Linked DNA regions of Saccharomyces cerevisiae S288C. Changing the gene in region 1 together with any one later gene gives a genetic interaction. Each region holds a gene or a part of one and is shown in the gene's direction. Other genes may lie near its edges. The genes, in order: ASF1, SLX5, NUP60 and MSI1.

Region 1 (3,104 bases):
CCCATCCACCAAATCCTAGCCAGTCCAAGGAAACTATACCGTTTACAGAAGGGAAGTCCGAACATTTGACAGTACCATCTTGGAATCCGCCATCACGCTTCTGTTCAGAGGTATCCTTCTCAGATGAGGACAATGTAGTGGTAGTAGCAGCAGATTCTACAGTACTAGTAGCGGCATTGGAATCTATGTATTGAGTGACAGTGACAACCGCTGGTTTTTCATCTTTGTGATGATCTTCATGGTGACTGTCCGCTGGAGCAGGTGCAGGGGCAGAAAATGCGACAGAAGAAAGGGAAGACAATATTAAAGCTGCGGAAATTTTCATTATGTGTTAGAGAGAGACGAGTTAAGTATGTGCGACTATACTAGTATTATAATATTAAAGGAAAGTAAGGTACCGTCTATGAGGAGACTGTTAGTTGGATATCAGTAATGAGACGAAAAAGCTCGAAATGAATGGATATATTCTTTTTGCTACTGGCAACTGTTGAATATTTAATGTTAAAACAAACTAACTGAGGTATATTCGTATCTGTATGTACACATATACTATATACAGGAAAAGATAAGCAAGAGAGAGGATATCAACTACGAGAGCGATCGATTATATATCAAAAGCTGTCCGCTTTGCCACCCATAATCGGCGCTTAGTTTCGGAGTTCAATCATAATTCTACCACCTTACACTCAACTTACTCTTTAACTCCTATAGTATAATATCGCCACTGACCCCATATTAAAAAAATTTTTTTGCTCGATCTTCTATCCTCTTTAGGTTAATTGTCGCTGTTATTGTCTAGATTTTTTCTCGGAGATGGCGCATCTATTTGCCGTCAAAAGATCCTCTCATACCATATTAAGTAAATTGCCTCCATTTCTTTTTCCTCGGGCAGAGAAACTCGCAGGCAACTTGCTCTCGAAGTGGTCACGTGCGGGTCTAGGCCTGCATAATCGGCCCTCACAGAGGGATCCCGTTACCCATCTATGCTGAAGATTTATCATACTATTCCTCCGCTCGTTTCTTTTTTCAGTGAGGTGTGTCGTGAAAGAAAACCCACAATTAAACTTTCAACAACCGGGCGACTAGGAAGAGAGTAGTGGGCGCGGATGACGAAGGCTAAGGTCACTTCTTCGTTTCCTTTATTGGGGTTTCCGTGTAGCCTTCCCCTGAATAGTGTGGGACGTTTTATGAGAAGCCGTAAGAAATAGGCAAATTGAGTTATGACAAGTAGACATGATGCCGCAGCCTTGCCTGACTTTACGTCTCCTTCATGAATAAGTTTTTCTATCGAGTTCTTTTCCTTTTTTCGCCTTAATTAGCTCAATTAAGCCTGTCCTCACTACTTTTCTTTTTCTTATCGGCTTTGTGCCACACCTAACCTTCGAATGCTGTTTTATTCCGTTCTTACATGGGATGGTAATGCCTTGGCGAGAATTTCGATTTTCAGGATATTGTCTTGGTGGCGTCTTTTGCTGTTACTATGTGTTTAAGAGAGAGCTGTTCTACAAAGAACTTTTCATTTACGCGTTTTTTCCTTTTTTTTTTTTTCTCATCCTAAACGCGTAAATCTGTTCCCTTTTTCATGTAATGGGCGTACAACCGACGATGGAAAAATGAATCTTGCAATTTTAATACTAACACTTGGAATAACTCCAAACAGGTAAGAGGCTCACAGAATCTCGAAAGTGTAACAGCGTACTCTCCCTACCATCCAATTGAAACATAAGATATAGAAAAGATGTCAATTGTTTCACTGTTAGGCATCAAAGTCTTAAACAACCCGGCAAAGTTCACTGATCCATATGAGTTTGAAATCACTTTTGAATGCTTAGAATCTTTAAAACATGACTTAGAGTGGAAACTAACCTATGTTGGGTCCTCTCGTTCTCTAGACCATGACCAGGAATTGGATTCCATTCTGGTAGGCCCCGTTCCCGTAGGTGTTAATAAATTTGTGTTTTCTGCTGACCCTCCCTCCGCCGAGCTGATTCCTGCGAGTGAATTGGTTAGTGTGACTGTTATTCTATTAAGTTGTTCTTATGACGGGAGAGAGTTTGTTAGGGTCGGTTACTACGTGAATAATGAGTACGATGAAGAAGAGTTAAGAGAAAATCCGCCAGCAAAGGTACAAGTAGATCATATTGTAAGAAATATACTGGCTGAAAAGCCAAGGGTAACAAGGTTTAACATTGTTTGGGATAATGAAAATGAAGGGGATTTATACCCACCTGAACAGCCCGGCGTAGATGATGAAGAGGAGGAGGACGATGAAGAAGAAGATGACGATGAAGATGATGAAGACGACGAAGATGACGATCAAGAAGATGGAGAGGGAGAGGCGGAAGAAGCGGCAGAGGAGGAAGAAGAGGAGGAAGAGAAGACTGAAGACAACGAAACGAATCTTGAAGAAGAGGAGGAAGACATAGAAAATAGTGACGGCGATGAGGAAGAAGGAGAAGAAGAGGTGGGGTCTGTAGACAAGAATGAAGATGGTAATGATAAGAAGAGGAGGAAAATAGAAGGGGGGTCCACGGATATTGAATCCACTCCAAAGGATGCGGCACGTTCAACGAATTAAGAATTTATGGGTTATAAGATTAATGGTACCTGCAAGAGAGGTACACTTTATAAAATGTATAAATAAAAAAATAACAGACATAAGATAAAGTCGGGTTAGGGCAACAGCTACGTAAAAAATAAAAGGCAGTAATATTTTCCATTTAAGTTGATTTTCTTATTATTGTCGTTGAGAACAAAAAGAAATTGGACGAGTCCGGAATCGAACCGGAGACCTCTCCCATGCTAAGGGAGCGCGCTACCGACTACGCCACACGCCCTAATATTATTGATATTGTTGTTTATCAAAGTGAGATACGTCAGTATGACAATACGTCATCCTAAAAGTTCATAAAACACATATGAAACAACTTCATAACAGAACGAACATGTTGGAATAAAAATCCACTATCGTCTATCAACTAATAGTTATATTATCATGTTGGAACGAGAGTAATTAATAGTGACATGAGTTGCTATGGTAACAATCTAATGCTTACATCGTATATTAATGTACAACTCGTATACGTTTAAGTGTGATTGCGCCT
Region 2 (4,358 bases), on another chromosome or scaffold:
AATTGGAAAGCTCATCTCTCTTGAATGTATAATACTTTCTTCCTCTAACTTTCAAAAAGTTTTACATAGCCAAGAAGTTTTCCTTACATCGGTATACTACTGTTATATAAGTTATTCTTCGAGAAACAATTAGATATCATTCATCGGATAAATCTAAGTTGCCCATTGCTTTCAATAACTCCGATCAAATTAACTCAAATCAACTAAAACAGTAATGTCATTCAGACCAGGTAGCAGAGGTGGTTCCCGTGGAGGTTCCAGAGGTGGCTTCGGTGGTAGAGGCGGTTCCCGTGGTGGTGCTCGCGGTGGTTCCAGAGGTGGCTTCGGTGGTAGAGGCGGTTCTCGTGGTGGTGCCCGTGGTGGTTCCAGAGGCGGCTTCGGTGGTAGAGGCGGTTCTCGTGGTGGTGCCCGTGGTGGCTCCAGAGGTGGTAGAGGTGGCGCTGCTGGTGGTGCCCGTGGTGGTGCCAAGGTCGTTATTGAACCACATAGACATGCCGGTGTTTACATTGCTAGAGGTAAAGAAGATTTGCTAGTTACCAAGAACATGGCCCCAGGTGAATCAGTTTATGGTGAAAAGAGAATCTCCGTTGAAGAACCATCTAAGGAAGATGGTGTCCCACCAACCAAGGTCGAATACCGTGTATGGAACCCATTCAGATCTAAGTTGGCTGCCGGTATTATGGGTGGTCTAGATGAATTATTTATTGCCCCAGGCAAGAAAGTTTTATATTTAGGTGCTGCTTCCGGTACTTCTGTTTCTCACGTTTCAGATGTTGTTGGTCCAGAAGGTGTTGTCTACGCCGTAGAATTTTCTCACAGACCAGGCAGAGAATTGATTTCTATGGCAAAGAAGAGACCTAATATCATCCCAATCATTGAAGATGCTAGACACCCACAAAAATACAGAATGTTGATTGGTATGGTTGACTGTGTCTTCGCAGATGTTGCCCAGCCTGATCAAGCTCGTATTATTGCATTGAACTCTCATATGTTCTTGAAGGACCAAGGTGGTGTTGTTATCTCCATTAAGGCTAACTGTATTGATTCTACTGTAGACGCGGAAACCGTTTTTGCTAGAGAAGTTCAAAAGTTACGTGAGGAACGTATTAAGCCATTAGAACAATTGACTTTAGAGCCATATGAAAGAGACCATTGTATCGTCGTTGGTAGATACATGAGAAGCGGTTTGAAGAAATAAGTTGAATAAAGGAAATTAGTCAAAAGTTTCTGGTAGCTTGCTCAATTATTAGCAGAATAATTGTTTCGTTTATATATATTTCCCCCATTCAGTTTCACTTCCTATTTGAAGTTTTTGTAACCCTCGACTTTGTAAAATAGATATTACTAAATTCTTTTAGAGAACAAAAGTATTGTACGTATTCGCCATATAAAAAAAAAAGAGTATATGTGGTGACTTTTTGGTCATTAATTGTTAAGAGCAAGCAAGTAGAAATCATAATCATATTTCGAGTTTTTTAAAGGTAGGAACAATATCGATAAGCTGTTCTCCAGTCTCGACACTGTTTGATGACCATATATCATTAATTCTTGTAACACTACATCATAGATTTCTCTTTATCCTTGGATTGAATCTGAAAAAATTTTGATAGAGTCTTTTGTTCAAAGTGTCACTTCTTCATCTGTCACTCTTACGTATTTTTTTTTTTTTGGCTTTGCCCATAAGAAACATCACTGTATACGCAAGGTCGCAATATTTACTATTTAACATGGATGAGAGGCAGTGTGCGACCAAAACGAAGACTTAATCATTAAGAAGAGCGTGTGTTGCGTTGATTGGTAATAACCAAGTCGAAATTTGCACTAGGAGCTTCAGTCTAGGAGTGAACTTTTGAAAAGATTTCAGTCCAAAAATTATTATTTGGAACGCGGAGCTCCTCTAATAGTCGAAATAATAGAATGCATAGCGATACTAACGGTCGAACAAAGAGCAATAATAGCCCATCAGACAATAATCCAAATGAGACAGTTATATTAATAGATAGTGATAAGGAAGAAGACGCTTCTATTCGCGAGGCTAACCTTCCTGTGAGGTTGTACCCAGACAGACGGGTAGGGAGACGACGTGATGCTTTAAATAGGTTTGTGAGGTCAGATTCAAGGAGCAGGAATTCTCAACGGACTCACATAACAGCAAGCTCTGAGCGCCCTGATTTTCAAGCTAATAACGACGATATCACTATAATACGAGAAGTTGGACGGTTTTTTGGAGACGATGGACCTATTGATCCTTCTGCACATTACGTCGATCTTGATCAGGAGCCAGGTTCTGAAACGTTAGAAACTCCAAGAACAATACAAGTAGATAACACAAACGGGTACTTGAATGATAATGGTAATAACAATGAAAGTGATGATGGCCTGACAATAGTTGAAGAGAGAACAACACGACCCAGAGTGACACTGAACCTGCCAGGCGGGGAGAGGCTTGAGGTAACTGCGACGACAACAGACATACCGATAAGAAGGTCATTTGAATTCCAAGAAGATCTAGGCGCATCACGCAGGCAGTTACTGAGAAGGAGTGCTACAAGAGCCCGTAATTTATTTGTGGACCGGTCTGATGAAAACGATGAAGATTGGACAGATGATACCCATAATTTACCAGAAGCTATTCAAAGGGCTCGTAGGGAGAGCCGTATGCGAATGAGCAGACGGATTGCAGAAAGACAACGTAGGGTACAACAGCAAAGGGTGTCCAGTGACGAAAATATAAGTACATCTATTAGGTTACAATCAATCAGGGAACGAATACAATCATATACGCCTGATATTCGTAGTGCTTTTCATCGTGCAGAGTCACTGCATGAATTCAGGTCTATTTTACAAAATGTTGCTCCAATTACTTTGCAAGAATGTGAAGAAGAACTAATGGCACTCTTCACTGAGTTCAGAAATCAACTGCTGCAGAATTGGGCCATTGATAGGGTCAGAAATACTCAGGAAGAGGCCTTGAGACTTCACCGAGAAGCATTGGAAAGACAAGAAAGAACGGCAGGAAGAGTTTTCCATCGTGGCACATTACGTGAATCAATCACAAACTATCTTAATTTCAATGGAGAGGATGGGTTCTTAAGTCGTTTGTGGAGTGGCCCAGCATTGAGCGATGCTGACGAGGAACGACACACTCAAAATATCATTGATATGATCCAAGAGAGAGAAGAACGAGAGCGGGATGTGGTCATGAAGAATCTAATGAACAAAACCAGAGCCCAACAGGAAGAATTCGAAGCTAGGGCAGCCAGCCTACCCGAAGGTTATAGCGCGTCATTTGATACTACGCCAAAAATGAAATTAGACATTACGAAAAATGGTAAAGAAGAAACCATCATTGTGACAGATGACGATTTAGCAAAAACACTCGAGGATATTCCTGTTTGTTGCTTGTGTGGCGCAGAATTGGGGGTCGGAATACCGGATGATTTTACTGGAATCAGTCAAAAGGATCGTGGTGTTTCATTTGAAGGGTTAGTGTCAAAATACAAATTCCACTGCCCCTACCAAACCCTAGCCAGACCATCAATGCTTGATAGAGATTTATCAAAACGAACGTTTATTGCATCGTGTGGTCATGCATTTTGTGGTAGGTGTTTCGCCAGGATTGACAATGCAAAAAAAAAATCTAAGATGCCCAAAAAGAAACTAGCTCAACTAAAGGGTTCGGCTCATCCGGATAATTATGGCCCCAAATTATGTCCCGCAGATTCTTGTAAGAAGCTTATTCGTTCAAGAGGCAGGTTGAAGGAGGTTTACTTCTAGCACGCGGTTTAATTTTTATAAGGGCATTTTCGAACTTATCATCATTATATATTATCTACTTGCATGAACACTTTAATCACGCTTATTTAATTAAGATTAAAAGATCAGAGGTGCAATTGTGCTTTGTTTTATATAGTGGATTTGTGTGAAAGGGTTTGCTCCCACAAGATATGGAGATACTCTAAAACAGCATATCCAAAGTACAGCATAAACATAAACCCGCTAGACAGCCCGCTAGACAGTCTTCATTTCCAGAACTGGCCGGTTGTTGTTGGACATAAATGGGCTGCTGTGGGTGTTGTTGGTAATATTGGGGCTGCTGTTGCTGATAGTATTGAGGTTGTTGCTGATACTGCTGCTGCTGCTGTTGAGGTGGATAATAGTTCTGTTGGCTTTGCGATGGAGCGTAACCTCTAGACGCCGTTTCATATCCTGGTGGTGGAGCGCTAGGACGAGAATACTGAATCGAAAGTGATGTAATGAAAATACAAGGGCTCGTTAGTACGATGTGATCTTCTAAAGGCAAAACTTGTAAAATTAACGTACGCTTTGTTTGGAGGCAGAGTTTCCGTAATAATCTT
Region 3 (4,157 bases), on another chromosome or scaffold:
TTTTTTGATCGTTTTACCACCTCAACTATTGTTGCTAAATGATCCCTAATATTAATATAGGGATTACTATCCACCCCGTCATGGCTGAATTTTTTTAGCTTCAATTGCTTCACGACGTGTCCCTTATAAATCAGTTGTGAACTTGTTAACAGGTGGTTTATTTTCTTGATACGTCCAGTCACACTTCTAGGATCTTGCCCAGTTACCTGCGCCAAATCCATAGTATTGATCCCTTTTTCTCCTGATTTGGCAACTTCGAGAAGTAGTTCAAATGCAGAATTTCCAATAGTTGACTCCTTTTTTGTGTATCCCGTTAATAATGTCCATAGGCTGTCCTCAGTAATCCCAACCGAGTATGAATGATTAGCGTCGCCTATAATATCAGTCACATTTTTAGTTGTTATAGCACCATCACAATACACCTCAATGTCCTTTTTCAATATCACGCATGAAAGCACGAACTGTTTAACTTTTTTATCAGACAAATCAAAATATTTACCAGATATATCCCACAGCTGATTCAAAGTGATTTCTTCAATGTGTCGTTAGTAAATAATCTTTCACAATATAGTACGTTTATCACCTAAACGGAGCCGAAAAGGAGAATGAGACATGAACATACTTCCCTTATTTGAAGCAATTTTATCAGACACTATTTGTACGAGTTCGTCAGGATAAATCGTCAGTACCATTTTTCTTGTGGCTAGTTGGCTTCAACCAAACGTCCTCTTCTCTCTTATGGCAAGAAGAAAGTTATATGTGTGACTGGTTGTTTATTTCACTTTCGCGACTGAAAGCGCCGCCCTTTATGATGCAAAAAACCAAGCGGTATTTGAAAATGCAGATTTGCAGAAATAAAAGAAATAAAAATAAAAATCTTATAATTTTACCAGCTTCAATAACTCGATTTGCATAAGTGTGCCTTAGTATGCTTATTATATTGACTTTGACATTGAACTTCAAAACCTTTTATGTAATGATTTAAGTCTTGTCACATGACATAATAATAAATAATTTTAAAAATATAAAATATTTTTAATAGTTTTTAAATATTTTACAGTTTATTTTTTAAATTTATTTATATGTTTTTGTTTTCCGAAGCAGTCAAAGTATTTTAATTTTCGGAGCTTTCATTTCAAGCGCCTTTTTTTTACACATAATACGATCAAGATAAATTATTATAGTGGTACAGAACTCTTAAGCACTAGGCGGTGGACCTTATTAGCTCAATCTTGAGTCAGTCCATGTATCGTTTTATAATACTTTTTTAAGCACTTTCTTTAATAAATATTCCATTGAAGTACTGTTACTGAAATGAGATGAACTGTTCAGAATGTAGAAATGGCGCCAGAAATCAATCATTGTTTAGCAAAAACACCTTTCGTCTGCTGCCTCGGGTGTTTTTTCAAATTATTTCAGCAGGTAAATTAAGATAGTTATTCGAGTGATTGCCAAATATCATGTTCTACTTCGAAGACTTATAGCTAATTAATTTTTTCATAATGAAGGTGTCGTTAATTGTTCTGATTAGTAACATGAAACTCAAAAATCATCAAAAAAAGAAAAGCTAAATGTATACTTTTTTGTCTACATTAGTTACCTTTTATTACATGAGAAAGTTATTTTTCTTCTTTTTTTTTTTTTTTTTTTGAAACTTTTTCCTCTCGGAAAATAAAAGATATATTTACAAGTGAAAGCTTATTGTAATGTGTACTTTTAAACATCAAATAACAGACCTTTACATCAAATAAGCACCGCAAGATATCCTAAAATCGACATCCAATGCATCGTAAATCATTGAGGAGGGCTAGCGCTACTGTGCCTTCCGCTCCCTATCGAAAGCAGATTATTAGCAATGCACACAATAAACCAAGCCTTTTCTCTAAAATTAAAACTTTCTTTACCCAAAAAGATTCAGCCAGAGTGAGTCCAAGGAATAATGTTGCTAATAAACAACCACGCAATGAGTCTTTTAACAGAAGAATCTCAAGTATGCCTGGAGGTTATTTCCATTCTGAGATATCCCCAGATTCTACTGTAAACCGTTCCGTAGTTGTTTCTGCAGTGGGTGAAGCCAGAAACGACATTGAGAATAAAGAAGAGGAGTATGATGAAACACATGAAACTAACATCTCCAATGCAAAGCTTGCAAACTTTTTTAGTAAAAAAGGTAATGAGCCTTTATCAGAAATTGAAATAGAGGGTGTGATGTCATTGTTACAAAAATCAAGCAAATCCATGATAACTTCGGAAGGAGAACAAAAATCAGCCGAAGGTAATAATATCGACCAGTCGCTTATCTTGAAGGAGTCAGGAAGTACACCAATCAGCATATCTAATGCGCCGACCTTCAACCCAAAATATGATACTTCAAATGCGTCAATGAATACGACTTTGGGAAGCATTGGTTCAAGAAAATACAGTTTCAATTATTCTAGCCTGCCCTCACCATACAAAACAACCGTTTATAGATATAGTGCAGCGAAAAAGATCCCCGATACATACACAGCCAACACATCTGCTCAAAGTATAGCATCTGCTAAATCGGTAAGAAGTGGTGTTTCAAAGTCAGCTCCTAGTAAGAAAATAAGTAATACAGCTGCGGCATTGGTCTCACTATTAGATGAAAATGACAGTAAGAAGAATAATGCAGCTTCAGAACTTGCTAATCCATACTCCTCATATGTAAGCCAAATACGCAAACATAAGAGAGTTTCTCCAAATGCTGCACCAAGGCAAGAGATCAGTGAAGAAGAAACTACTGTTAAGCCATTATTTCAAAACGTTCCTGAACAAGGCGAAGAACCAATGAAACAACTGAACGCCACCAAAATTTCACCATCTGCGCCAAGCAAAGATTCTTTTACTAAATACAAACCTGCAAGGTCCTCATCCTTACGCTCAAATGTCGTCGTAGCTGAAACCTCACCTGAAAAGAAGGATGGTGGAGATAAACCTCCATCCTCTGCTTTTAACTTCTCGTTTAATACTTCAAGAAACGTTGAACCTACTGAGAATGCTTATAAGAGCGAGAACGCACCATCTGCATCATCAAAGGAATTCAATTTTACCAACCTACAGGCGAAGCCGTTAGTTGGAAAGCCAAAAACCGAACTTACAAAGGGCGATTCTACTCCCGTCCAACCAGATCTTTCGGTTACTCCTCAAAAAAGTTCATCGAAAGGCTTTGTTTTTAATAGTGTTCAAAAGAAATCACGGTCCAATCTTTCACAAGAAAACGATAATGAAGGTAAACATATCAGCGCCTCAATTGATAACGACTTTTCAGAGGAAAAGGCGGAAGAGTTTGATTTCAATGTTCCCGTGGTGTCTAAGCAGCTAGGAAATGGCTTGGTTGATGAAAATAAAGTTGAGGCTTTCAAGTCCCTATATACCTTTTGATAATGAAAATTTTAGCCGTGACATAATTACCGTATAGCCCAACTCAATACGTAAGTTTGTGTAAAATACCATTCCAAGATGATATTATTTAGTCATTTTTTTTCCACTTTCTCAAAAAGAAGGAATACCTTTAGCGGCTCTTATAAACTATAAATTTCTAGAAGATACATAAAAGGTTTTTAGTCTGATCATAAAATTTTTTGCTTAACAAAAAATTTGCCCAGGTGTTTCATTTGCCAGCCACAAGTAACAGCGAGAACAATTAATTGAATGACAATCCACCACATAGCACGAGAATTAACAGCTTCAGAGGCGTCTCTAAAGGTAGCTTCACGATCTCTCATCAATTTTTGCTCTCTTCTAATTTCGCCGATCTTGGAGTTTAGGACGTTAACCTTGGCATGTAGAATGTCAATAGTGGCTTTACCCTTAGAATCTAACTTTTCATCAGAGCCCACTTGGAATTCAACGTCAATCTTCGTTTTAGCCTTAATCAACCAGCCACCAGCTTCGGGCTGAATACAGATTTTATGTTCACCCGAATCAGACGCAAGGAAAGTTAAATCACCACTTGCTGAACCTTTCTGATGAACAACCAGGTGGTTATCATCAAAAGTTTCCTCAATATCAATCAAGACACCAAAATCTTGCGCACCAGCGTCTCTGTAATTTTGTAATTGGTCATCGTAAATTTGTGCCTTGTAAGTTGCTTGGAACAAAGTACCTTTAGACAATTCCTTGTGGAAGCACTTACG
Region 4 (3,641 bases), on another chromosome or scaffold:
GAAGATCGTGCTGTCTACCACGTCGCATTGAGAAACAGAGCTAACAAGCCAATGTACGTTGATGGTGTCAACGTTGCTCCAGAAGTCGACTCTGTCTTGAAGCACATGAAGGAGTTCTCTGAACAAGTTCGTTCTGGTGAATGGAAGGGTTATACCGGTAAGAAGATCACCGATGTTGTTAACATCGGTATTGGTGGTTCCGATTTGGGTCCAGTCATGGTCACTGAGGCTTTGAAGCACTACGCTGGTGTCTTGGATGTCCACTTCGTTTCCAACATTGACGGTACTCACATTGCTGAAACCTTGAAGGTTGTTGACCCAGAAACTACTTTGTTTTTGATTGCTTCCAAGACTTTCACTACCGCTGAAACTATCACTAACGCTAACACTGCCAAGAACTGGTTCTTGTCGAAGACAGGTAATGATCCATCTCACATTGCTAAGCATTTCGCTGCTTTGTCCACTAACGAAACCGAAGTTGCCAAGTTCGGTATTGACACCAAAAACATGTTTGGTTTCGAAAGTTGGGTCGGTGGTCGTTACTCTGTCTGGTCGGCTATTGGTTTGTCTGTTGCCTTGTACATTGGCTATGACAACTTTGAGGCTTTCTTGAAGGGTGCTGAAGCCGTCGACAACCACTTCACCCAAACCCCATTGGAAGACAACATTCCATTGTTGGGTGGTTTGTTGTCTGTCTGGTACAACAACTTCTTTGGTGCTCAAACCCATTTGGTTGCTCCATTCGACCAATACTTGCACAGATTCCCAGCCTACTTGCAACAATTGTCAATGGAATCTAACGGTAAGTCTGTTACCAGAGGTAACGTGTTTACTGACTACTCTACTGGTTCTATCTTGTTTGGTGAACCAGCTACCAACGCTCAACACTCTTTCTTCCAATTGGTTCACCAAGGTACCAAGTTGATTCCATCTGATTTCATCTTAGCTGCTCAATCTCATAACCCAATTGAGAACAAATTACATCAAAAGATGTTGGCTTCAAACTTCTTTGCTCAAGCTGAAGCTTTAATGGTTGGTAAGGATGAAGAACAAGTTAAGGCTGAAGGTGCCACTGGTGGTTTGGTCCCACACAAGGTCTTCTCAGGTAACAGACCAACTACCTCTATCTTGGCTCAAAAGATTACTCCAGCTACTTTGGGTGCTTTGATTGCCTACTACGAACATGTTACTTTCACTGAAGGTGCCATTTGGAATATCAACTCTTTCGACCAATGGGGTGTTGAATTGGGTAAAGTCTTGGCTAAAGTCATCGGCAAGGAATTGGACAACTCCTCCACCATTTCTACCCACGATGCTTCTACCAACGGTTTAATCAATCAATTCAAGGAATGGATGTGAACAAATCGCTCTTAAATATATACCTAAAGAACATTAAAGCTATATTATAAGCAAAGATACGTAAATTTTGCTTATATTATTATACACATATCATATTTCTATATTTTTAAGATTTGGTTATATAATGTACGTAATGCAAAGGAAATAAATTTTATACATTATTGAACAGCGTCCAAGTAACTACATTATGTGCACTAATAGTTTAGCGTCGTGAAGACTTTATTGTGTCGCGAAAAGTAAAAATTTTAAAAATTAGAGCACCTTGAACTTGCGAAAAAGGTTCTCATCAACTGTTTAAAAGGAGGATATCAGGTCCTATTTCTGACAAACAATATACAAATTTAGTTTCAAAGATGAATCAGTGCGCGAAGGACATAACTCATGAAGCCTCCAGTATACCCATCGATTTGCAAGAAAGATACTCGCACTGGAAGAAAAACACTAAACTACTTTATGATTACCTAAACACGAATTCAACAAAGTGGCCGTCCTTAACGTGCCAGTTCTTTCCTGATTTAGATACCACTTCGGATGAGCATCGCATCTTGTTATCCTCATTTACATCTTCCCAAAAACCTGAAGATGAGACCATATATATTAGCAAAATATCCACGTTGGGTCATATAAAATGGTCATCTTTAAATAATTTCGACATGGACGAAATGGAATTCAAACCGGAGAACTCGACAAGGTTTCCCTCCAAACACTTAGTAAATGACATCAGTATTTTCTTCCCAAACGGGGAATGCAATAGGGCAAGATATTTGCCTCAAAATCCAGATATTATAGCCGGCGCCTCTTCAGATGGTGCAATCTACATATTCGATAGAACAAAACACGGCTCTACTAGAATAAGACAGTCCAAAATTTCACATCCCTTTGAGACAAAGCTGTTTGGTTCACATGGTGTTATTCAAGACGTGGAGGCAATGGATACTTCTTCGGCAGATATAAATGAGGCGACTTCTTTAGCCTGGAACTTGCAGCAGGAGGCCCTTTTACTTTCTTCTCACTCCAACGGCCAAGTTCAAGTTTGGGACATTAAACAATATTCGCATGAGAACCCTATAATAGATTTACCCTTAGTGTCAATAAACAGCGACGGAACAGCGGTGAATGATGTAACTTGGATGCCAACACACGATTCCCTCTTTGCTGCTTGTACTGAAGGAAATGCGGTCTCCCTATTAGATCTGAGGACTAAGAAAGAGAAGCTCCAGAGTAACCGTGAAAAACACGATGGTGGAGTAAACTCCTGTAGATTTAACTATAAGAACTCTTTAATTCTAGCATCTGCAGATTCAAATGGGAGGCTAAATTTATGGGATATTAGAAACATGAACAAAAGCCCAATCGCTACCATGGAGCACGGTACTTCCGTTTCAACTTTAGAATGGAGTCCAAATTTCGATACTGTATTGGCAACGGCTGGCCAAGAAGATGGGTTAGTCAAGCTATGGGATACCTCCTGCGAAGAAACTATATTTACCCATGGTGGTCATATGCTCGGTGTGAACGACATTTCGTGGGACGCTCATGACCCTTGGTTAATGTGCAGTGTGGCAAATGATAATTCAGTTCACATATGGAAACCTGCAGGAAACCTTGTTGGACATTCGTGACCTAAACGTTCCTTGAAGCCAGGCATGCTAATGGCTCCTGTCCCTATTACATATTCAACCATTTGATAGACGAATATACAAACATAAATAGAGTTTATAAAATATGCTCAAGACTTGCTACAATAAACACTACGCTCAGACTTCATGCTGATTTCAATATTGTATTTCGAAGAAAGTGGTTGCTCATTTATTACCTTTGAACTTTCACTTTGGTATTTTGATATTCTCGAGGTTTCCCAGTCTGGCTTGAACTTCAGTTCGCCTTTTGAAAGTGGCAGGATTATAAGGTATATTTCTGTAATGTGATGGTGCAGTGCCTCTTGGATTCCAGTCTTTATCGTAAAATATACTTCTTATACCGAGTTCACCGTTCTCTTTTTCACGACCCAGTGAGTGTCCAGAATCAGCTTCTAAATGACCTTTTGATACAGTCTGCAGAAGCTGTCCCTCTTTATTTCTCTCTAGGTTTCTAGAAAGTGATTCAACTTGATTTCGTACCTTTTTCTTATTTGGGCGTTGGACCTTGGAAACCCTTCTTTCTGTTAAGTTATTACTTGGGTCCTTCTTTTGATCCATTAAGCTCAAACGTATATAGTATAAAATGATGGAATGCGAGAACTAAAAGGATTGGATGACTTTGAAGGTAATATATTTCCTTGA

Evidence for each region.
Region 2: mutations in ASF1 (region 1) and SLX5 together harm fitness more than expected from each alone (negative genetic interaction), as found in Saccharomyces cerevisiae (5 studies listed by BioGRID, with this or other methods).
Region 3: mutations in ASF1 (region 1) and NUP60 together harm fitness more than expected from each alone (negative genetic interaction), as found in Saccharomyces cerevisiae (5 studies listed by BioGRID, with this or other methods).
Region 4: of ASF1 (region 1) and MSI1, changing one enhances a phenotype caused by changing the other (phenotypic enhancement), as found in Saccharomyces cerevisiae (5 studies listed by BioGRID, with this or other methods).

What each region holds. Positions count from the first base shown.
Region 1 is NC_001142.9:194,549-197,652, forward strand, and holds ASF1 (nucleosome assembly factor ASF1), read left to right. Parts: upstream 1-1,738; coding exon 1,739-2,578; downstream 2,579-3,104. Other genes in the region: SUN family protein NCA3, read right to left, coding at 1-325. UniProt on the Saccharomyces cerevisiae protein: Histone chaperone that facilitates histone deposition and histone exchange and removal during nucleosome assembly and disassembly. Facilitates histone deposition through both replication-dependent and replication-independent chromatin assembly pathways.
Region 2 is NC_001136.10:427,150-431,507, forward strand, and holds SLX5 (SUMO-targeted ubiquitin ligase complex subunit SLX5), read left to right. Parts: upstream 1-1,917; coding exon 1,918-3,777; downstream 3,778-4,358. Other genes in the region: rRNA methyltransferase NOP1, read left to right, coding at 215-1,198; YDL012C (uncharacterized protein), read right to left, coding at 3,959-4,237, 4,324-4,358. UniProt on the Saccharomyces cerevisiae protein: Component of the SUMO-targeted ubiquitin ligase (STUbL) complex SLX5/SLX8 that mediates ubiquitination and subsequent desumoylation of sumoylated proteins and proteins containing SUMO-like domains for their degradation.
Region 3 is NC_001133.9:150,475-154,631, forward strand, and holds NUP60 (FG-nucleoporin NUP60), read left to right. Parts: upstream 1-1,782; coding exon 1,783-3,402; downstream 3,403-4,157. Other genes in the region: transcription factor TFIIIC subunit TFC3, read right to left, coding at 1-532, 623-692; ERP1 (Erp1p), read right to left, coding at 3,591-4,157. UniProt on the Saccharomyces cerevisiae protein: Functions as a component of the nuclear pore complex (NPC).
Region 4 is NC_001134.8:609,954-613,594, reverse strand, and holds MSI1 (Msi1p), read left to right. Parts: upstream 1-1,712; coding exon 1,713-2,981; downstream 2,982-3,641. Other genes in the region: PGI1 (glucose-6-phosphate isomerase), read left to right, coding at 1-1,359; AIM4 (Aim4p), read right to left, coding at 3,186-3,557. UniProt on the Saccharomyces cerevisiae protein: Acts as a component of the histone chaperone complex chromatin assembly factor 1 (CAF-1), which assembles histone octamers onto DNA during replication and repair.